3 linked regions of the Neodiprion lecontei genome follow. The main gene of each other region encodes a partner of the protein of the gene in region 2 in a complex. Links are inferred from orthologs where the notes say so. Each region holds a gene or a part of one and is shown on either strand. Other genes may lie near its edges.

Region 1 (8,188 bases), on a different chromosome or scaffold from region 2:
TAGATGGAAGTTTATGACAATTCAAAATTTTTTCAAAATTCATTCGGTATTATTATTTTTTAGCTTCAAATAGTCCCGAATTTGCTTCTATTTGAAGTCCATCAAAATGAAAATTTATTTCGTAAGTTGTGAAAACATCTCTGTTTTATAATAAAAAGTCTCCATAGAATTTTATACTTTACGTACCGCCTCATTACCTTTCTGAAATCACAAGAATTGGCATAAGAAAATAACTGAGATTATATTATTATAAATTATAATGATGAAATAAATTTATTGAGTTTTCATTACAATTGTCATTACGTTGATATTTCTCTAGTTCCGTCTCCTTTTAATTTTACTGCCATGCGCAGATCCTTTTCCTTTGAAAAACTTTTTATTACCCTGTGATTTTGTACCACCGTCTTTAACGCCAAATTTCTTTTTTTGTCTGTAACTATACTTTTCATCATCATATCTGTTTTTATTACCAAACTGTTTATTCTTTTTGTCACCGTTTTTAACGTTTTTGTCGAGCCTCGATTTCTTTGTCTTGTATTTAACTGGATATGAATTTGGTCGCTTGTCACCAGTTTTTGGTCGCCCCGAAAACAAATCTGGAATACAAATGAAAGAGCACCTATTAACATTATTGTACAGAGATTAATTTAATGATATGAGTTTTGTTTGCACTACGCCATTACCTTTATCAGGTTCTTGGCCAACTTCCTCTCTATAATACTGTGCATCGTCGTCTTCCTCGACCTGATTGTCTTCGTAGGACTCTTTTGCAGCTTTGTGCATAAGCACGTCACTTTCCGATCTTTGTTTTTTCATACCCTTAAGACTTTTCTGTTTCTCCTCTTCCTTCATTGCTTCCTTTTTCTTTTTATTTTCTTCCTGTACCTTTTTCCGATTTTCTTTAAGCTTCTTTTTAACCTCACGGCTCTTTTGTATTTTGAGTATTTCTTCCTCGGTTTTATGCACAAATTCATGGTACATAACTTGTCCATCCAATAATCCATCTTCAACTTTTATCAGCTGAAACAGGGTTACAAAATATTTATTCTTTGCCTTTATCCCAAGTACATGAAATATTTATGAGAAAACTGGAATATATTTTTACCTGCATTGTTATTCGAGGCCCTAGTTCGATGAGTCTAATTGCGCTCGTGCCACTTTTGTGATTACCTCTGGACGATAATTTCTGGGGCAGGGTAACATGACTCGAGGGATCCTCTTCTGCTTCGCTTTCAGAGAATGTGGGTTTTGTAAGGAATTCTGAAAAGTCTTGACATTTAGAGAGATTGGGCACTTTAGCTTGTACTATTTTCTTAACTCCTTTTGATAGTCCAACTGGTACCATTTTTATAGCGTAATGCCTGAAGTCTATTAGCTTTGTCACACTGTTGTAGTTAAGACAAACACAACGACGAATTGTGCTGAGGTTTACCTAGAAAACAATCCCCAAAATCCGTTAAAAATTCCATGCCAGAGCTCTATATTCCTATGAAATAAAAAGGTATTCCAGGTTGAAAATACTTACAGTGGTAAGATTAATTGTTGGAAACATGTTTTGAAACATCGATGTCATGAGTTTCATTTGCATGCCTTCTCCGCTGAAATTATTCAATACCATCAATGGAGAGTGTTTGAAAGCTTCTTCAAAGACCATTTGCTTCTTTATCGTTGAAACTACATCTCTCGCTAGTGAGAAACTGGTTATTTTAAAAGATAGTGTGGGCCCTCTTGGTATTCTATAATTTTAAGTACAGGAATTAATGAAATCCTAAGTGGTAATCACTTATGGACAGTTTAAGAAGTCAAAATGTGACTGTAGATATGAAATTTTCAGATGCAAGCAAGATTTTGTAATACTCGTATTACCTACAAAGTTTCAGGTACATTCCCAGTTCTGTTCGTGTAAAAATGCACATATGAGAAACGTGGAGAGCACCAGAAACCGAAACGAAATCTTTAATCGTGTTTCGTTTCCGAGCTTTTAATGATGATGCTGTGTATGGTTCCATAACTCTTCGAAAATCCTTAGTTAACTCCAAGATATGTCCTCCTGGAAGTCCACGTTGTATAACAAAAGAATGAGGAGCGCGCACCAAATCCACAGGCTCTTCGCTGTTTATTTGTTTGTTCCGCTTTACGCAGCGGCCCTAAATACAGTATAAATCGTGAGTTATATTTGGATAGGTATCTATGTTTGATGTGTGACGAACCGATTTTTAGTATAAATTTATTGGTCTGTATGGGCAGAATTTTACAGATACTTTTATTGAGGTTATGAAGAGAGCACTAGATATTAATTATGTCTATATTTACGTTTACTAGGAATGTTATTTCATTCATTTGGGAGGAACAACTATCGCTCACCTTTTTCGAACGTCCCATCTTAGAAAAATTTTTCGAGAATAAAGTTTCGTAAACAAAATCTTGTACGCACGTTGCCGACGTGCTTCGTAACCTCAAATTTGGCAATCTGTGAAGTGTGCACTCTGCGCAAGTGTGGTCCACACACCACACATTGGTGGCATGGGTGTCAGGTTGGACAGCTGACGGGATTTAAAGTTGTGCTTGGCTTGTGCTTGTTTTGTAGTCGTTTACCCCATGAACATATTCAAGGATATCAATTGAACGAAAAATGATTGGAATTCCAAAAAAATATTTATTATGGTTCGCGCACGAGCACGTCGATTTCAGGATAGCGGTATGGAATTTTTCAAATTTGCAAACTTCCACTAGATAATGGTTGAATTAAATTGTCATTTTTGAGGTTAATGTTATAAAACCTCGAATTTGTAACAGGAAATCGAATCTATTTGTGAGATGTACGATATTAAAGTCACGACAATTCTGAGGCCTGACGAGTATGTAAGTAAATAAATAATTTTTCGACTACTCACCGACTTATCACTGCTACAGTTCCTACAATTTTTAGGTTATGTTATTATTCCACATCTGGTGAACATAATCGAATGTTCACCACTGTTGTTATCAATAAGTAGATGTTACATTAATGAACCAATCTTCAGTAATAGCTTTGCTCAAACCACAATTTTCCTGGGAGTATTAGCAAAATTGGATTGAAATGATGAAATTTTTTACATTTTCTCAAATCTTTTTGCTCACTGGCGCAACATTTCTATCATTGCTAACTTTTCTATAAAGTTTACCCCTTCATTAATATTTTCTTGGATTATTTCTTGATACATAATGTTTACTTTGTATCTGTACCTTTTAATTCATTGAAAAAAAATGTATTTAAATTTAGCCATATTGGATAATCGAGTCAGATTCAGAAGATGCTGTAAAAAAAATTGCTAGCAGATCCATATCGCTTCGTTCCTGCATTGAATTGTGGGGTGATGGGGGCAGCCATGAAGATTTGCACAGGAGTTTGAAGGAGTACCCGCAAGGAAACATGAGACTACATCTTAATAATGAAAAATCCTTCAAAGTTATTGTTGAAACATTTTGTAAGCATTTTTCACAAGATGAGAAAATTAAGAAAATAGAGGTAATGTACTATCTTGTATATTTGAAAAAACAAGGTGATCTTTACTATCTGATTCTGTGAATTAATTACAGTCCTTTAGTTATCTGCCAATAGAGGGTCCTGTAAATTTGCGAAATCCAGATACAGCATTGATGTATATAGAGTATTACGGACTAGATCCTAATACAATACCTGACAAACCTTATCACCTTTTTTTCGGAAGACTGGTAAGAATTATGAATTATCGTTTTGCGTGGATTTTATGATCAAATAAATTTTGAACATCGTTTTAAAATTGTCACGAAATCACAATAATCGTGAATCTTGATCATTTCACGTTATTTTTTCAGGTGGCTGATGGCCAGAGACAATTAATACGTAAACTATCTCTCAAAACGCGAAATTTCATAGGAAATACTTCAATGGATCCTCAATTATCTTTGATAATGGCCAATCAAGCGCAAGTAAAAAATGGAGATTTAATTCTCGATCCGTTTGTTGGTTCCGGGTCGCTACTTGTTGCAGCATCTCAATTTGGAGGGTACACTCTCGGTACAGACATAGATTATCTAATGCTTCATGCACGCACAAGGCCCTCTCGGATATCACAGAAGGTACACATCTTCGTTACTTTCATTAAAGTAGTTTTCTTTTATTCTTTCCTTATTGCTCAATATTGTTATTAACCGGAAACAACGATGGTCCTAAAACCATGTTACGGTCATGCCAATGCAAGAGCTTGAATGCCTTTAACTCTCTCTGTTTTTTAGACCAGAGGGAAAGACGAAAGTATAGCATCGAATATGAAGCAATATGGAACAAGTTCATATTACATCGATGTCTTAGTGACAGATTTCTCTTTACCTGTCTGGCGTTCAGACATGAGAGTCGATGCAATTATCACAGATCGTAGGTTCAATGCATCACATTATTATGATGGGCATACAATACAAGAGTTTAAAATCGATCGACATTGCGAATAGTAATGAATCCGAAAACTTCTTAGCAATTGAATTTCAGCTTTAAAATCATCTTAAATCTTGCACAGCTCCATATGGAATAAGAGAAGCAACGGAGCGTGTAGGTACCATAAAAAGACAGCCTGTAATCGACCAGCATCAAGTAGCTAGTCATATACCTTCTAAGATTGACTACGGGCTGCCTCAGATGTTCGTTGATCTGCTCTCATTTGCTGCGAATCATTTATGTATTAACGGCAGATTGGTATGCTGGTTTCCTTTGTTCAGGTAAGAACGTAAAAAATATGAGACTTATGATAAACTGACAACAGACTGCAGACATCAAATGGTTGAAATTTTCGATGACTATATATTTTTTTGATAATTCTGAAAAAAAAAAACAAGGTTCCATTTGCTACTAAGACCCTTTAAGCCGAGTCTGCTGTATTTCAAAATATGTTTTAATTTTATTTATTTTAATACAAACAATCCATAAACAACAAATGTTGCACATATTAATAATTTAAGTAATAAAAATAATGTGCTGTGTTGAATGTCATGTAATTGAACGTATACATGATCCTACAGGGAACACTATGCAGACGAGCAGCTTCCTTCACATCCATGTTTGCAATTAATTGCCAATTCGGAACAGATTCTGAGTACATATACAAGTCGCCGCTTGCTCACTTATAAGAAAATTCGAGATCCTCAGGTACATAGGAGCATCATGAATTTGCAAATTTGAACAGTTGGTAGAAAGATTTCATTTCGCTGTCTGAAATGAACCTTACAGAATCCTATATATTTTTGTTCTAAGCGTAAGATTGACAGTTTTTGTTCTTTGTAGGATGATGATCCAATTGATGATTCGAATGTATTAGACTTCCGTGTAAGATATTTCGGACATGGAGATGAAACAAGAAAAGAAAGAAGAATGAAGAGAGCAGAACAGAGGGCAAAGAATAAAGAGAATTGGGAAAAAAATATTAAGTCAAAAACTGCAAGATGACTAAATCTTTTTTATATGTAAAAGTGGTAAAAGTTTATTTAACAAACCTGCTTTTTACTTTATTTAAAACGCACTTTTACACGAATAAAAATATTTTTTTACCATTTATTATTTCTCAGCAAAGACATCATGCGAGTAGAAATTGCAAACGTGGTCTTTTTTCAAAATACCACAGTATTTTTAAAGGTGCTATTCGACTTCAATTCTCAAGGTCGCCTAAATGTTGTTCATGTACCGTCACATCAAAAGCTCTTCACGTATAGATCCCGTTTCAAAACATACGTAGACATCCATGGATGTCAAAAGCAAATCTATGAACTCATGTTTTGTCAGACCGACAGTAAATAATCGGTATTATTATTTATTTTTTCATTCAATAAATTTAATATTCATGATGAATAATATTAAATAACAATATAAACATATTCTTTTAGAAACCTTCACAAATAGGAAATACAACTACTGGAAAGATAATTTCTTACAACAGTGCCATACACGAAATACATCATATTTACGTACCATGTGGAGTTCAAATAAAATGCAAATAAGCAGTGTGTATACTTATGTATACTTAACTTGATAAATATGTATACTGTATGCATATGTGATATACTAGGAAGGTTTCATAGTTCCAATGGATCAATGTTTCAAACACATCAGTAGATAGCATCTCTCCGTACATCCATCAGCGTACCAAATACATATACATTCATATAATATATGTCTATGACTCTAATTGTAATTGCCCTAGTACATCTACAACATTTTTAACATCTTTTTCTGTCGCTTTTAATGCATACCTTTTCTGAATTTGAGTTGCAGCCCAATTGCCAAGCTTTATTGCATCCTTTTTCTTTGAAGCAGGACACTTTGCTGATAAAGCAATGTTGTTTGCCACCTATTTAAGTTAGCAGATAGTATTATTCTCAAATCGTCTACTATTTCCGACAAATTTTCTGCCCTAATATAATTTGCTTATATAGAGAACACTTCTGAAAACTTACCAATAATAGCCCATAAAGTGCTCGTACGTTGTTGGGATTCAACTTGATTGCTTGAGCGAAATAAGTTTTTGCCAATTCCATATTATCGAATCCACCCTAGATGATAAAATATTAGATTTGTTAAATTTATAGGACAGCAAAATTAGAGTACTTAATCTTTACTTGAAGTGAATATTTCATTTCTATTTAGGTAATACTACAGAAGAGATGCGTTCATTCACTAACCTGGGTATACTTAATTTCTGCATATCGCTGATAAATCAAATGACTATGAGGGTTGTGCAAAATTAATTCTTCCATGCAAAAAGCTGCTTTAGCATACTCTTGCTCTTGCAGGTATAAATCACACAATTCGTGCCATGCTTCTTGGTCACTCATGAACCTGTTTAGAGAATGTCAGTATTTTAATCAAATGAGTAACAGGTTTTACAACTAATTCCTGATGCGGATGACTAACTTTTTCAAATACTCGGTGAGTTCTTTTATAGCTTCAGTTATTCGACCTTGTGCCTTTAGAATTGCCAATCTTCTTTTTCTTGGTGCTGCGTTAGTTTCATCTCTTTTGATTATGGAGTCCAAAATCTTGAGGGCCTCATCGTATCTGCAAATGAACACATTATTTGTGCCAAGTAATTAGAGATCATAGAATATATATAATCATGGCAATTTTCAGTGCATCATTATAAAGTTAATGTAAAATGGTTATATGTAATACTTTTCCAAGGCTTCCATGTGCATTGCGTGATATTTCAGCACCCTCAGGCTGCCTGGAAATTCTTGCTCCAATAAATCAATACATTCTTTGGCAACTGATAAACGATTGCAATCCAAGGCAGCCACACACACTTGTTCTAAGACTAAATATTCTATAAAATAATAAATACCGCAATATGAAGGTCAATTTTCACGTAATATTTCATTTTAGGTAAGGGTTAGATGAATAAATATTTATTATGAGGATTTTTACTTTCGTTTCCTAATTTATGGATCTTCTCTATTAATATGGATTCCCATAGCTCAACCACATCTTCACTCTTGCGTTCAGAATCTTCTCGCCAAGTTCTGAACAAGTCTCGTACATCTGTGGATTTGATTTGAAAATTGATTAGCCGTATAAATTTTTACGTACGGTAAAGTACTGCGATGCAGTTGGCTATGCATGCACATATTTGCATTTAGTCTGATACTTGATTTTTCATCATATTTAGTATGAAACAAAAATTTGCAACTGTGATATTGTAGCGAGATATAGCTTTATGATTTTGTTTTTGAAATCTCAGGCTCGTACAACGTGTCCCCAATTAAATATTATACACGTTATGTAAAATACCTGTCTTAATACATATGATAATATATAAATATGTATTTAAATCTAGTTGATTATGTAATAGTTGGGTAATGAGGCAATATGTAGCATGAAATTCAGAAAAATGAATATTGATACATTAGCGTTACATATTGACTTACTTGACAAATAGAGGCATGTAAGCTCGAGTATCGAGCTGAGTTTAGGTTTGATTTTTCAATATGTGCATGTAAAGAGGACAATGTCATCGTCAATTTATCAACTTATTATAAAGACGTACCTGTCCAAGACATATTATCATAATTCCATGGCATTTTTTATCTACCGAACAGAAGACCAACAGCCAACAATACGAAAAATTATTCAGTCAATTGGTCAATAAAAGTTGATTACTTAAATCGAGGTTATACGACAGAGTTA
Region 2 (6,813 bases):
GCACTCGGAACATTTTTCGTGTGCATAATTTTGACGATATTGCCAATTATAGATCAATGAGGTTTGCAGAGACTATTGAATGAGACTGTTGGAAGATATTAGTTATAATTCGTAATCAAGTGAGAATAAAATCCCTCCTTTAAATTGTATGAAAATTTCGTTAAGAAACAGTGTGTTCTTTACAATGTCATTTTTGCTGCATCAGTAATACTTCCCTAAGTTGCAAATAGTTAATTGAAATAAAAAAATTAGTCGAAGTCATTGGAATGGCACTTAATTCCAATAATATTGGATGAATCTTGTAAACTTGCTATGGTCGCATTTGTATGACTTCTAGTAACTTTTATCTGATTGTTACACAAAATTTTGCCTACAGAATTAAAATATAGGTAGAATAAGACGTCCAGTTATATGTAATGCATAGCAGTTTACATTCTAGATGATACATTCCCATCCAATGTTGAATATTAATTATGAATTGAAAATTCTCTATTTTGCCAATACATGCATAAATCTGATTGTTATATAGATAAAAAAATGTCTTGTTATTTATGAGGAGGAAAGACATGTGTAATACTACGTGTGAAACGAATTGTGCCATAGTTGAAATGATGAAGAGGTATTTTTCTTATCTTGATCCAAATATAATCCTGCCTTCAGAAAACTTAATATACAATATTTGTATGTGAATACTAAATATGATAAATAAGGGAGGGCTGTGGCTGAAATGTTAGTAGGTCAGAGCTATTTTTATAGCTTATTCTTTTTTGACGAAACTAAGATGGGTGAAATAATATATTTTGACTATGTATTTACGTACTATCGCATATGGCTAAGTATATAAAGGTGTGGGATGATTCTTGACTTTAGCATAATTCTTGATAAGTGTCTGCAAGGATGTAACTGTCCTTCTCTATTCAAAATTATTATGTCACTACATATTCAGATAATTCAACGGGTGAATGTTGTAATACGTAGTTCCATTTTTTTAAAGCGATGCACATATTACCCGGATCAGTTTACTTTGGAAAACTTCAAAACATTTTATTTACAGCAAACGAATAGGTCGTGATGATCACATTAATTTGCAAATGCCCCACATCTTATGTACCTACGCCAAGCTCCTTAAAGAATTAATAATTAGAATATAAATACCTTATAGTCTCATGTAGTTGTATTTCCTTAAAATTCAATATGAAGAATATTGTGATCGTATGGAAAAAAATATGATTCTAAATATTATTGACTCTTGTGTTTTAAATCTTGTTAGTTGAAATACACAACTATAAACTGGTGCAATAATAACATCATTTGAAATACAGTAGCATGCTAAATGTCAAAATTGTGTGGAACTTGTAATAATTCGTCTTGTATCATAAGTATAAATGTTTGTTGACTTGTAAAGTTGGAATTTTGTCAACATTACTCATTTTACTTAATTCGTATATTTAATTTTTCTGAATAATCTTTTAAATATTTACTTATATAGACAAGAAATGCGTGAGAAGATTACTCTCAGTTGCCATTGTGACGATCCACGGTGGATCGTTTAAACATTTTAGCAGTCAGCTAGATGATTTAATACTCCTTAAAAAATATAAAAGCCAAAAGAGACAAACTACAAACCGTAAACGTTTATCAAGTATAAGAAGCAAGAAAGTACTAGTACCAAAATGTTGTATTCTAGTATAATTTACAATTTTATTGATAAGCATAATTAAACAAGTCACTAATTCTGTAGCAATAAAACGCAGACATTTAAACATCTGCATTTGTACCACAGTTATCACTGGTCAAAGAAAATTGTATTTCGTTGTATACCTATACATATCTGTGCAATAAAAAAACTATTTAATCACACATGCACAATCCTCTCATCTTCTACTACAAAATTATGATACATTTGTATTTTTTACCTTTTAGAAATTGCCTGATATTGTTTACAATTATAAAAACCACTCTTTACTATAGAAAATAAGATGATGGATAGGATCGAACAATTAATTTATCTGAAGGTGATTTGTAACTTTTTTATTGATTTGGCATATTGTTGCAATGCTTACTGATTCTTCATTACAAACAATTAATTTTGCCATTTACTTTTGAAGACTTAATGTGAAGATATGAAATCTAATAACATGTAGTTAAGTTACTAGTTTTAACTCTAAAAGACAGTCATCATTATTCAAGACAAAAGATTATAAATAAATAACGTTAATGATGCATCTATTTACTACAAAATTTACAATGACTGAAATTAAAGATAATTACGTGAAGTACGTAGAATTATTATAAGAGACACGTGTAAATTGACAATAGCGCCAAAATAGTTCGAACAAAAATTCTTGCAAGAATATACATATATTCTACTGAAATATAAATAAATGCTGATCTTTTTTGAACACTTTTAAATGCGAGTTCCTTTAGATGCATCTATAAATGACCGAGGCATTAGTTATAGTAATAGGTATCTCTTTAAATCGCATATTCTATATTCTGTATAGAATTTTCTATAGACAGAGAAGACTATTCATCATTAAATGGCTGAAATGTAATATCGACTTGTTTTTCTAAACTAATAGTAATATTGAATAAAGTGGCAATGTACAAGGATTTTTTAATGAAAAAGTTATCGATATTCCATCAATGTACGATCTTGTCAAGATTTTTGGTAGGAATATATATGACTACAGCTTATTTCTACACTTCATCTTCATTGAGTAACATATTTGGGATCCCGTCATTTATTGGAAACTTTCTTCCTGACTCAGGGCACAGCAAGTCGCCATTTATCACTTCAACTTCTAACAAAATGTGATGGACTTTTTTAAGGAAATCTTCATTTTCTTCAAAATCTTCCACAAGTGTCTGTGGTAGCTCACCAACATGACCAATCTGTAAATTTGGGTAGTTGTTAATTTAATTCCAGAAGCTATTAATTTTTTAACTATGATAATTCAGTGAAAAAAGCTCTCAAGTCAAATTTGCATCTGGAGAGTTGGTCGTTACATGTATAGTATTGTTGTTTCACCATAAACAATTCAACACGATTAAAGATAAGGAAGTGATTATCGCCTGCGTCTAAATGTATAGATCGTTGCGTTGTCTATGCATGTAAGAAGTTATTCAATAGCAAGTTTTGAGCTAATCTTGCTTTAATTTATTAAAGAATTGGTGACCTACGCTCTCAGCTGCTTTCCACAGGGTGGCCCAATCTAATTTGGGAATAATTCTGGCGATGAATTCGGAATTGAAATCAACTTCTGAAACCTTGATATCCTTGGCCTGGAAATAAATGAACCGTGTGAAGGTTTTGGAATGAGGGTTAATGTGGTGCTTATGAACTTCATAACCTCAAAAATGTACCGCACTCGTTTCAAGATTATCGAAGCGGTTTTCTTACCACAATCGCTAAAGGGTATCCTACTGTAACGCCTTTCAAACATTTTGACGTCAACATGTTATGGGTTAAAAGCTTCATTTTTGTTCAGGCTTACTTATAACTAACACGCTGAAAAAATTATTTATATGCACTGCAAACGGTCGCACCGTTATTTTGACATGTGTCGTCTGTCGATAAAATCGAAAGGTTTTACTTTGAGATCCTCTGACGGTCATTTAAGTAACCAAAGTGTCCCATTCTCATTCTGCATGTGGATCAAAACCAGACAGCGTTTATTCATGAATAACGGTAAAAGTTGGCTTTTCCAAGACCGCGAGACTCTGGTTTTTGAAACAAGTATGATGTATGTTTAAAAATCCCTAAAAGTACCACGTTTGCGAAACCATGAATTGCCAGAGTCTCGGTTCTTAAAATCTGAAGTTATATCAGTAGTCTTTCAAATAAAATATTTCATCACATTTTCGACAAGGCTGTACAAGACTTACAAGTTTCGATGCAAGTTTGATTGTTTGTGACTCAGACTGTAGAATCCGAGTTCCACATCCGCGCAACAGTGGGAGTGAATAATGGATTGCTCTTATTCTTTGAGCGGATTTACTTTACTCTAGTTTTTATCACTAAGGTTAGGTTGCGGATCACAAACTGTTAAATTGGTTCAACGTTATTGTTAAATTCTATGAACAGTGTGAATAAAATTGGAACGTTAAAAATCAAACACCTCGAAAAGGTGTATAAATGTATTTCGGCTATGTAAGGTAATATAAGTAAACATACGTATACCTAATACTCGTTCTACAAATCGACGGACTTTCTCAACTGGGTTTGTGAAGTGTTTGATGTTCGACTGACAGCCACATCATCTGGCCTTGATAAAAATGTGTAATCAGTTGTGAGGTGTGTTGAGTTTATTTCTTATCGTGCTTCTGCACCATCTGGCAAGTTACGAACTGGTAAATTTTTACGTAAATACCTCGGTAATTCGTCACAAGAATTATATATTTAACGTTATTTTGAAACCTTATGCTGTCTCATTATACCATTATTATTGTTCTCCGAGAAATTGTTAGTTCCTTCACTGAGGGAAAACATTCTCCTACACACAAGTACTAGTAAATATTACCGCCCAAAAACAATAATAGACATCAGTGAGATAAGTAAAAATAGTTTTTCACCAGTTTGGAACTATCTGTAACAAATAGAAGTGTGATAAGTAAAAATTGAAATACAAAAACAATAAAACGAACAATAATAAGAATTGGATCAACCAGCAAATTAGGTAAATACTTACTGTATATAATAATAATAGTAATCATAATAATAAGATCAACAGGCTTCAGATGACGATAAACAGACACGTACTAAGAAATTGAAATTTGCATATGAAGTTAAAAACCTTCAATGTAGAAAGTAATATATATCGATTAATTACAGTTTGAACTTGACTACGTTCGGATCCAAATCATCGCAAAACTATGCCCTATCATTTTCTGAAAGTGTTGATATCTTGACAACAGAAAATAGAAAGTGATCAATTAAAATGGCTCATGCTGCATCGATATGTGGGATCCTACTCTTTGGATGTGCTTTCATATCGATAGTAAGAGCTTCTGAGGATGACCCCATTGAGTACATGAGCAAGGAAGAACGAGAAGCGTTAAAGTGAGTATTTATATTTGGCATGAATTATTACTCGTGTCACTATCCAAACAGATTTATGTAATATTTTATCTATGGGCGTTTTAACGAAAAATTTCTTTCACCGTTACTGAGAGGAAGGCATGATTTTGGAGGAGTAGTAAAATATTGATAGCAGTTATCTATTCACATAGGAAACTGTACTTGAAGTTTCTTTTAACTACTGGGAAAATTTATATTCCAAACTTTGGGTAACAGTGAAATATTTTCTATTTATTAACTAGGCCTATTAAATTTCTGGACAGAAAAAAATAAATATTTTTGCTGTATTTGGAAGGATATTACAATAATTGAAAGCGTTGGATTTTTCAAGGTTATTCCAGCCTTACTGTCACTTTTTTGGTGGTTGATTTTTTATTGATATAAAGGTCAAGCAACTTTCTTAACTGTAAACGGTCAATACTTATTATACTCACAGTTAGCAAACACTTTGCCCGTATCTTGCAAGGTTTTGCAACGATATCTAGAATCAAATTATTTACGTATGGCCAAATGTTTTGTTTAAAATGTAGATAGGTTTGACAAAACTGGTGATTTCTTTTTAGGGAAGAAGCACGGGACATGTTTTATCATGGATACAATGCTTACATGGTAAGTATTTGAAATCCTAAGGTTCTTAGATTTGTAAAGTGCTGAATAAGCGTTTCTTAAATTGCAATTTTTTAAAGGACAATGCATATCCGGCTGATGAGCTGATGCCATTGAGCTGTAAAGGGAGATATCGAGGATCAGAGCCAGATAGAGGTGATATTGATACTACGCTCGGCAAGTAAGCAATATTTGGAGATATTTATCACAAGCAATGATTCCAAAATTCAAATCATTCGTCAGTTGTATAAAATTCTAAGAATCGATAAAGTCTAAAGTAATTGTTTATTGAATTTCAGCTTCTCATTAACACTGGTGGATGCAATGGACACTCTTGTGGTGAGTGATTGAATATTATGTAGAACTGACAATTGAAGTTGATGTTCTTCAATTATTTGCAATTGGAAAATTCTAATGTTTCAGTTACAGTATTCTAACAATTCTACATACCATGAAATTTGATTTTGAATTGCAGTTAAAGACATTGCATTATGCGCCAAATGCAGTCAAACCTCACAATTCGACGTGAATATTGAGAGTTTTGTATTTGTTATAAAATGTTTCTCACGTTTTTAGCGTTTGGATTGATTATTGCACGCAAAAATAATTCGCTTAGCTTATGATTGCGATTTACATCAAGTAATCTGATTGGAATAAACAACGTCTTGGAATATTATTGATTTATTTTTACTCATCACTATATTTCTGTAAATCTGAGTATTTATTTGGTAGTCTGCACATTTTCACATCGACTCTATTAAATAAATTTAAAAACTTTTTAGCTATTGGGTGACTTGGAAGAATTTCAAAATGCCGTCAAGTTGGTAATCAGAGACGTATCTTTTGAGACAGACGTGATTGTCTCCCTTTTTGAAACCAACATAAGAGTACTTGGGTAAATAGAATCAATGAACTTCCAAATATACTGTATTTATAATAACAATGTGCTTAACTTATATTTTATATTTTTGATAACAGAGGACTGCTGAGCAGTCATATACTAGCTGAATACATGCAGCAACGAGCGGACATCATGCCTTGGTACAGAGGCGAGCTTTTGGACCTTGCTAAGGATTTGGGATACAGATTTTTGCCTGCGTTTAACACAACAACTGGTATTCCATATG
Region 3 (6,737 bases), on a different chromosome or scaffold from region 2:
CTTCTGTTCAACTATATAAGGAATTTAGGATCCCTTGAATCTTGAATGCGTGTTTAACCCATTGATACCTGTTCTCGGTACTGGTGAGGTGAGCGATCCACCGATTGGGTGTTACCGAAAGGTCTGTAGGAGGGTTGTACATAGTCTCACTGAAGCAAGTGAGCAGGAGTTTCAAGAGTTCAGTTCGGTTTGAGTCCAAGTATGGATATCTTGGTGGAGAATGTGCGAATCCTACACCAGCTTCCCATATGTATTCGCAGCTATCTATCGACTGTAGTTCTTCGGCTTTATCCTAAAGAAAGCAACAGAAGCATTGTCAAAATTACATTTAAAAATCTGCTTTTGTTTCTTTTTGCCCAACTTACCGGTCCTGATTTTCTATTCGCAGCCACAGTAAAGTCAGGACAAAAGAGCAAATCCTGTAAGGAAATCAAGTTAATTATTCACATAGTCAGAATGTGAACACAAATTTCAACATAAACCAATGTCCCAATACTTACGCATATCGCGTTGAGTAGAGAATGAGCAAGAGGGATGCTCTCTTCGTCTTCTTTGCCAGGTAAACTCGACCAAAAGAATCCCTTCCAGTCAGGATCCTCAAATATGTAGGGTAGAAGCCTGGTTAGCAGCCGGCAGCAGTTCAAGACCATTTGATGTTCACGCTGCGTTCGACAGCTGTTGTCGACTGCTTTAACGAGTTTCTCTACCGCCTTGTAGCATAGCGTTGCCAAATTTGATGGGGCTTCTTCCCTGAGCACCCTGATCTCTGGCGCGGGTATCAAAGTGAATATATCCTGAACGTTCACCACGTTCTCACACCAAAATTGGTCCCAGAATGTGTCGTCTGCTGCGTCTATGGGCTGGAATCAATGGTATTGTAACACGTTTTGATTAACGTAAGTGAATTTGATGAAACCGAGAGATTCCATGTGTCAGAAAGTTTTGATTCTCCTCACCTGGGTCTTGGATGTCAGCTGAACAACGGCCTTGCGAAAATTTAACTTCGTGTCAGCGTTTCCCATGGTTTTACAAATTGCTAAAAACTTGTGTGTATAAATAATTCGTACGGAGTTTTCAGGGGATCGTTGCTCGCAGATGTGTCGCAGCGCGTAACCGACGGCAACGGTGGACGAGTCGTAGGCCGATTAAGCAGTTGGCCGTCGATTCCGGGTTCACCCTGATGGGATATCGACGCGAAGACAACGTATCGTCGGGGTATTCATCGCCGAGACGGGATAGAGGCGAAGCGATTCAAGTAGAATTAGCGTGGGTGTGAGACAACCACTCGACACCTTTTAACGATTGATAACTATGTTACGTGGCTGTCGGTCCTAAATCCAGTGTATAATTATGTACGTTTATACTTTCATTTTCACTTTGTAATCTTTTCACTGCTCTACATATTCTGAATATTCTTCTGACACGATTACAAATACTGATTGTGTACGGCGGCAAGATAACCGAAACCACTCTGAAATTGACGGATGTCAGACGTGTATGCATGTATGTACCATTGAATAATTAGTATCTATATCCCACTAAAGAGAGCAGGCTATATGGAAATATATGTGTCAGAAAAATTGAATAGCGAGTTACCAACATTTATAAGGATAATTGATCACTGTGCATTCTGCAGTACCGACAATGCCGACTGTTGCGTCTACAAAAATATTTTGTCTTTTCTCTATCTTGTGCGCTGGAGAGAGATGAGCAATATAGTGTTACCGACCCTCGTCTTCACGTACCGACTAATTTATCAAATTATCATATCTAATCGTCTCACACTTTGCTCCGTATAAATAATCTACATATGATTGAGATGTCACTACGTTAACAATTTACCGCTAATTCAGCGAACGAATTCGTCACGTTCTAATCATATTGTTGTTATTTTTCGATTGTTATCATTTTTTGCAAAGTAGCTGTATTTTGATTTTTACATAATAATTGAGGGTGATTACATTGTTACAGAGATCCCCTCATCTTTGATAGTTAACCGCGCTCTCACCAGGGCCTGGAAATTGCCAGCTGGTTCCCTGTTCAGTACTGCTTTCAACCACGGCACGCCTATTAGCGCTATCGTCGCGGCCTATTCGCAGTACTCTGGTGACGCCGCCGCGATTTCACAATTAGTTGTGGCTAGGCATTGATACGAGTAGGTCGTGACCGTAGTGACTCGTGAGATATTAGATTAAAACGTTCGGCAGGTTCAGCTGCTAAAATTTGGTATCCCTACCAAATGGCTTTTTCGCAACCAAATTCGAGAGGTAAGGAGCTGAGATACTTCATACGTGGTTATTCGTTAATTGAAAGTCCCAAAAATTATCGCGATTCCACGTATATTGTTTTCTCCCAGAGCTACAAAACAGAAAGATACTGGAAGAAATACAGTTGAAGAAGCAGCTACTTTTGAAGCAGGGCGTTGCGCCTACCCTTGGAACTTCTTTAACTCCGCTCGCTGTACCACCCGCTACTTCTGCTGCGACTCAGGTACGTCCGTCAAACAAATTCTTGAGTTTCGGATGAGGTTGGGTTACGTTCTGTTAGTTTAAATCACGGTGTAAGAATAATAGGATATCTAGTTTAAATCACGGTGTAAGAATAACAGGATGTCTAGTTTGAATCACGGTGTAAGAATAATAGGATGTCTTTTTTGAATCATCGTGGAAAAATAATAGGTATGTTGCGGCTCGGCGGTTGTGATTATTTTTGCATAATTCGGTACTTGTCCACTAAACGGCTACGGGTCTGTAAGACCATTGTAAACAATAATGGCGGCATGCAGTGTCCGAAAGAGAGGAAGGTAATTTTAGGTTAATCATGAGATGAGCGTGTCATATTTATAAAAAATATGACTAGAAGTTGCATTTGAAAACATAAAATACCAAAAAATGATAATAAATTTTTAAATATATGAAATATATAAAGTAACATAAACTAAATAGAAGTCATAATAAACCTATGAGATTGAGGTTTGTAACATTGATGCAACAGAATAATGGAAAAAATTTGAACTTGAGTGGTCGAACGTTTCAAAAGCAGTAAACTACACTACATAATTTTCCAAGTTGGTTACAACATTGTGTCTCGTTTATTTTGCAATTATAACAAGATTTGAGTCACAAAATTGTGCTATTTCCAAGTACCCTATGCGTCGACGTTATGAATTTCAAACTGCTAAAAGTTACGTTTTCATCAACCTAGATAATTTTCTCTTTGCCACCTATTATTTTTACACCCTGGTTTGAATTCACGTGGATGGCAACACTATCACGTTTTATATATTTTACATTATCAACAGAATCCCGCAACAACGGTGGACGGTATAGCATTGAGTGCTTCTCAACGCGCAGCTCTTCACAACGCTCATGCAGCCTCTGCTGGATTCTTTGTCACCCAGGACTCGTCCTTTGGTAACTTGATCCTGCCAGTACTCCCTCGGTTTGAGACCAAGTGAACTACTATCAGGCGTATTATTCAAGAACGGTTATTGTGACCAAAATGGCACCCATGCGATTAAGAGAGCTGGAAGAGTATCTTCAACAATTGGATGGATTTGAAGAGCCAAAAATTTGGCTTGAACAATATTCTACGAGCGCTCACATTGGGGCGCACATCCTGCACACAGCATATACACACTTCGACGATATAGAAGGAAAGGCTGTTGCTGACTTGGGTGCAGGATGTGGGGTACTCTCACTTGGGGCCCAACTTCTCGGCGCCAGTCATGTCGTCGGGTTTGAAATTGATGCTGATGCACTGTCTATACTCAGAAGTAATTGCCTTGAATTAGAAACTGATGTCGAGGCAGTTCACTGTGACTTACTTAGTTACTTGCCCGGTTAGTTGAGATCTAATAATTCATAGTCCAATGATTCGAGGGTCATTATGTGAATAATAAATATCACTGATTTTAGGTAGATTTGAGAAGTACTTTGATACAGTTGTGATGAATCCGCCTTTTGGCACAAAACGCAATGCTGGAACAGACATGAAGTTTTTGGAGACTGCAGTCAGTATTGCACGACATGCTGTCTACTCTCTCCACAAGACTAGCACCCGCGATCATGTGCTTAGGACTGCAAAACGCCTTGGAACAACGGCAAAAGTTGTCGCTGAATTGCGATACGATCTTCCTCGAGCGTACAAGTTTCACAAAAATACTTCCGTGGATGTCCAAGTTGATTTCATAAGACTTGAATTAGATTAGGTAAACAACATGAAAAAGCATTCATCATCACTAATCAATTTCTATGTGTAAGTATAATGGAAGATTTAATAAATTTGTACAGAAATAGTGTTGTGGTTCTTTTGTTATGTTTCGTTGTTATTCCTACTCGCATAAATTATGGTTTGATTTTTTCATAGTTCACTCGAATTTGATCCCTTGAGCCAAGGGTAATTCATTCCCGTAGTTGATCGTTATTGTTGCCCGTCTGGCATAGTGCTTCCACGCATCACTCCCACTCTCTCGTCCTCCGCCAGTTGCCTTTTCTCCACCGAATGCTCCTCCAATTTCTGCACCGCTAGTCCCGATATTTACGTTTATTATCCCACAATCAGAACCAAGGGGCCCAATCCACTGTGGAAAATAAAAATTGGTGATTCACAATTAATACCGTTTGTTTTTTCCAAAATCAGATTTCAATGAAGCACTGTAAACCTTAATACCTTAAATAATTCTCCAATGTTGTTAGTGAAGAGGGAACTGCTCAGTCCCTGTTCCACGTCGTTGTTTACGGCTATCGCTTCCTCCAATGAATTCGTCTCAAGGATGTAAACAATCGGGGCAAACGTCTCATGTCTAACAACATCTGAACTAGCGGGTAAGCCAGATATTATAGTTGGTTCAACATAGAAACCAGGCCGGTCAATCACTTTTCCACCAAATTCTATGCACCCTCCAGACTTTACTGCTTTTTCGACAGTCAGCTGTAACAAGCAGTATTTTGATTTTGGTATGCTTAACAATTAAGCTTATTTTGTACTTAATCGTCTCACCTTGTAGGCCTCTACCGCTGCAGGACTATGCAAAGGTCCGTAGAGGGTACTCTCTTCAATAGGATCTCCAATCCTACCAAGAATGCCTGCGAATGCCATTTTGAGCCTCTCTAAAATTAACGAAAGATTGGAAACAAGTACTATTTATTGAGATCTTTCTACGAGTTGGTAGTAGATCAAAACTGTGTACTCAAGAATTCTGTCCTAATGTCGGTTTGCAAAATCAGCCTCCTAGTAGTTGTGCATCTTTGTCCTGCTGTGCCAACGCAGGAAAATACAGCCGCTCGAATTGCCATATCTAAATCTGCGTCCTTGGTGACTGAAATTTCAATGTGAATTGTAAATTTATTAAATTTTAAAAAACCAACAATCTATCGACTATGATTCTAAACCGGACATTTTCTGCCTCTACAGAAATATGTGTAACTTGTTATTTTAATTACCAATCAGTGCATTGTTGCCACCTAATTCTAGAAGCGATTTGCCAAATCTCTCTTGAACTTTTAAAGCGACATTTTTTCCAGCCTTCGTACTTCCCGTGAACGATATCAACGGTACACTAGAATAACAGATTGTTTCTTTGTAGTATGCAGTATCGATGAACTCATTACAGAGATATTTCAGTTACCGATTGTCATTGACTAGCAGTTCCCCAACATCTGTCCCACCAGTTATGAGCGATGCAACTGAGCCAGGGATCCCGTTACGTTCGAGGACCTTGGCGACAATTTTCGTTGTCGCAATTGAAACCAAGGGCGTAGTCGGGGCTCCTTTCCAGACCAGCGTGTCTCCGCAAACCATGGCTATGGCGCTGTTCCATCCGTAAACCTTTAGCAGGGGTAAGATTGAATTAAAATTCTTTGTATTTTCAGATGTTTTGGATTTCTGGATATGAAAAGTTTTATTTTATTTAGGATTACTGCAACGGGAAAGTTGAATGCAGAGATAACTCCGACTACGCCTAGTGGATTCCATTTTTCCAGTAGCACATGATCTTTCCTTTCGGAAGGTAGGAGACTTCCTGGCAGAGTCCTAGACAGCCCAACAGCGTAATCGCAAACGTCAATGTACTCCTGTACTTCACCAATGCCCTCAGCTAAAATCTTTCCTGTGTCATGGAAGTGAAGATGTTCCCTTTAGCAACTATCACAATTGGATTATGAAATACTTTCGTCACCAGTTACAGGCCTCACCCATTTCCAACGATACCAACTTTCCAAGCGGCTTTAGATTTTTTCTCAACTCATTTCCAATTTGGCGTACAATTTCACCCCTGGCTGGAGCCGGCATCGATGCCCACTGGGGCCATGACTCCTTCGCTTTTGTTATTGCGTTCCCCACCTCATCAGGCGTCGAGGAATGGACCCTTGCTATCACCTCACCATTACCCGGTGAGATGGACTCTATTACCTATCAAAATTTGAATTCCGAGGTAATATTTAATTCAACGATGCAAGATAATTATAAGAGATGCGGCTCTCTTGTAAAACTCGGCTTTTCAAACCTTGATTATCGTCGGGTCAACTCACCGGGCCTGAACCACCCCAACTGCCATCAAACGATCCAAGATTATCGGGTCCAATTTCGAGTTCTTTTAAAAAAGCTAATTCCGACTTAGATGACAGATTTCTGATAGGAATAAATCTTGCTTTCTGCTTGCCGGTAAATCGGCCAAAGTTTCTTATTGACAGCAAGATTCTCGCCATTGTCGACTATGTTTCCCAAGAATAACTAAC

The links.
Region 1: multifunctional methyltransferase subunit TRM112-like protein (region 2) and tRNA (guanine(10)-N2)-methyltransferase homolog share a complex: the UniProt entries of both Homo sapiens proteins name them as parts of the heterodimeric TRMT11-TRM112 methyltransferase complex. The link is inferred for Neodiprion lecontei from reciprocal best matches to the Homo sapiens genes TRMT112 and TRMT11.
Region 3: the proteins of multifunctional methyltransferase subunit TRM112-like protein (region 2) and rRNA N6-adenosine-methyltransferase METTL5 are in contact, whole or in part, in a crystal structure (PDB 6H2V), measured with the Homo sapiens proteins. The link is inferred for Neodiprion lecontei from reciprocal best matches to the Homo sapiens genes TRMT112 and METTL5. Residues at the interface, in NP_001359000.1 of Homo sapiens: Met1, Lys2, Leu4, Thr5, Leu8, Leu9, Ser10, Ser11, His12, Phe21, Pro22, Leu23, Pro34, Val35, Asn38, Asn40, Phe41, Arg44, Met45, Lys48, Glu92, Arg111, Gly112, Ile113, Pro114, Asn115, Met116, Leu117; in NP_001280115.1 of Homo sapiens: Asn52, Lys53, Val54, Gly75, Leu76, Val78, Ile82, Leu87, Asn91, Thr100, Ile102, Asp103, Met104, Val105, Gln106, Cys107, Asp108, Asn114, Arg115, Met116, Ser119, Phe120, Asp121, Arg150.

Annotation. Positions count from the first base shown.
Region 1 is NC_060260.1:5,294,199-5,302,386, forward strand, and holds tRNA (guanine(10)-N2)-methyltransferase homolog, read left to right. Parts: upstream 1-2,521; 5' UTR 2,522-2,632; coding exon 2,633-2,698; intron 2,699-2,796; coding exon 2,797-2,862; intron 2,863-3,262; coding exon 3,263-3,508; intron 3,509-3,579; coding exon 3,580-3,714; intron 3,715-3,837; coding exon 3,838-4,101; intron 4,102-4,257; coding exon 4,258-4,396; intron 4,397-4,535; coding exon 4,536-4,734; intron 4,735-4,889; exon of another isoform or gene 4,890-5,034; coding exon 5,035-5,161; exon of another isoform or gene 5,162-5,296; coding exon 5,297-5,458; 3' UTR 5,459-5,748; downstream 5,749-8,188. Other genes in the region: protein Peter pan, read right to left, coding at 316-596, 684-1,020, 1,106-1,432, 1,526-1,736, 1,867-2,147, 2,365-2,382; ER membrane protein complex subunit 2-A, read right to left, coding at 6,183-6,356, 6,463-6,558, 6,688-6,844, 6,920-7,063, 7,178-7,328, 7,430-7,543, 8,049-8,082. UniProt on the Homo sapiens protein: Catalytic subunit of the TRMT11-TRM112 methyltransferase complex, that specifically mediates the S-adenosyl-L-methionine-dependent N(2)-methylation of guanosine nucleotide at position 10 (m2G10) in tRNAs.
Region 2 is NC_060261.1:39,652,063-39,658,875, forward strand, and holds multifunctional methyltransferase subunit TRM112-like protein, read right to left. Parts: upstream 3,637-6,813; 5' UTR 3,482-3,636; coding exon 3,404-3,481; intron 3,286-3,403; coding exon 3,184-3,285; intron 2,896-3,183; coding exon 2,701-2,895; 3' UTR 2,017-2,700; downstream 1-2,016. Other genes in the region: ER degradation-enhancing alpha-mannosidase-like protein 3, read left to right, coding at 4,941-5,062, 5,644-5,689, 5,767-5,867, 5,986-6,025, 6,469-6,581, 6,665-6,813. UniProt on the Homo sapiens protein: Acts as an activator of both rRNA/tRNA and protein methyltransferases. Together with methyltransferase BUD23, methylates the N(7) position of a guanine in 18S rRNA.
Region 3 is NC_060264.1:2,799,462-2,806,198, forward strand, and holds rRNA N6-adenosine-methyltransferase METTL5, read left to right. Parts: upstream 1-2,722; 5' UTR 2,723-2,803; intron 2,804-3,301; coding exon of another isoform or gene 3,302-3,457; 5' UTR 3,458-3,501; coding exon 3,502-3,841; intron 3,842-3,917; coding exon 3,918-4,210; 3' UTR 4,211-4,297; downstream 4,298-6,737. Other genes in the region: protein HID1, read right to left, coding at 69-292, 366-419, 501-860, 957-1,022; alpha-aminoadipic semialdehyde dehydrogenase, read right to left, coding at 4,370-4,582, 4,672-4,932, 5,002-5,111, 5,192-5,320, 5,445-5,560, 5,630-5,829, 5,922-6,109, 6,195-6,411 and 1 more. UniProt on the Homo sapiens protein: Catalytic subunit of a heterodimer with TRMT112, which specifically methylates the 6th position of adenine in position 1832 of 18S rRNA.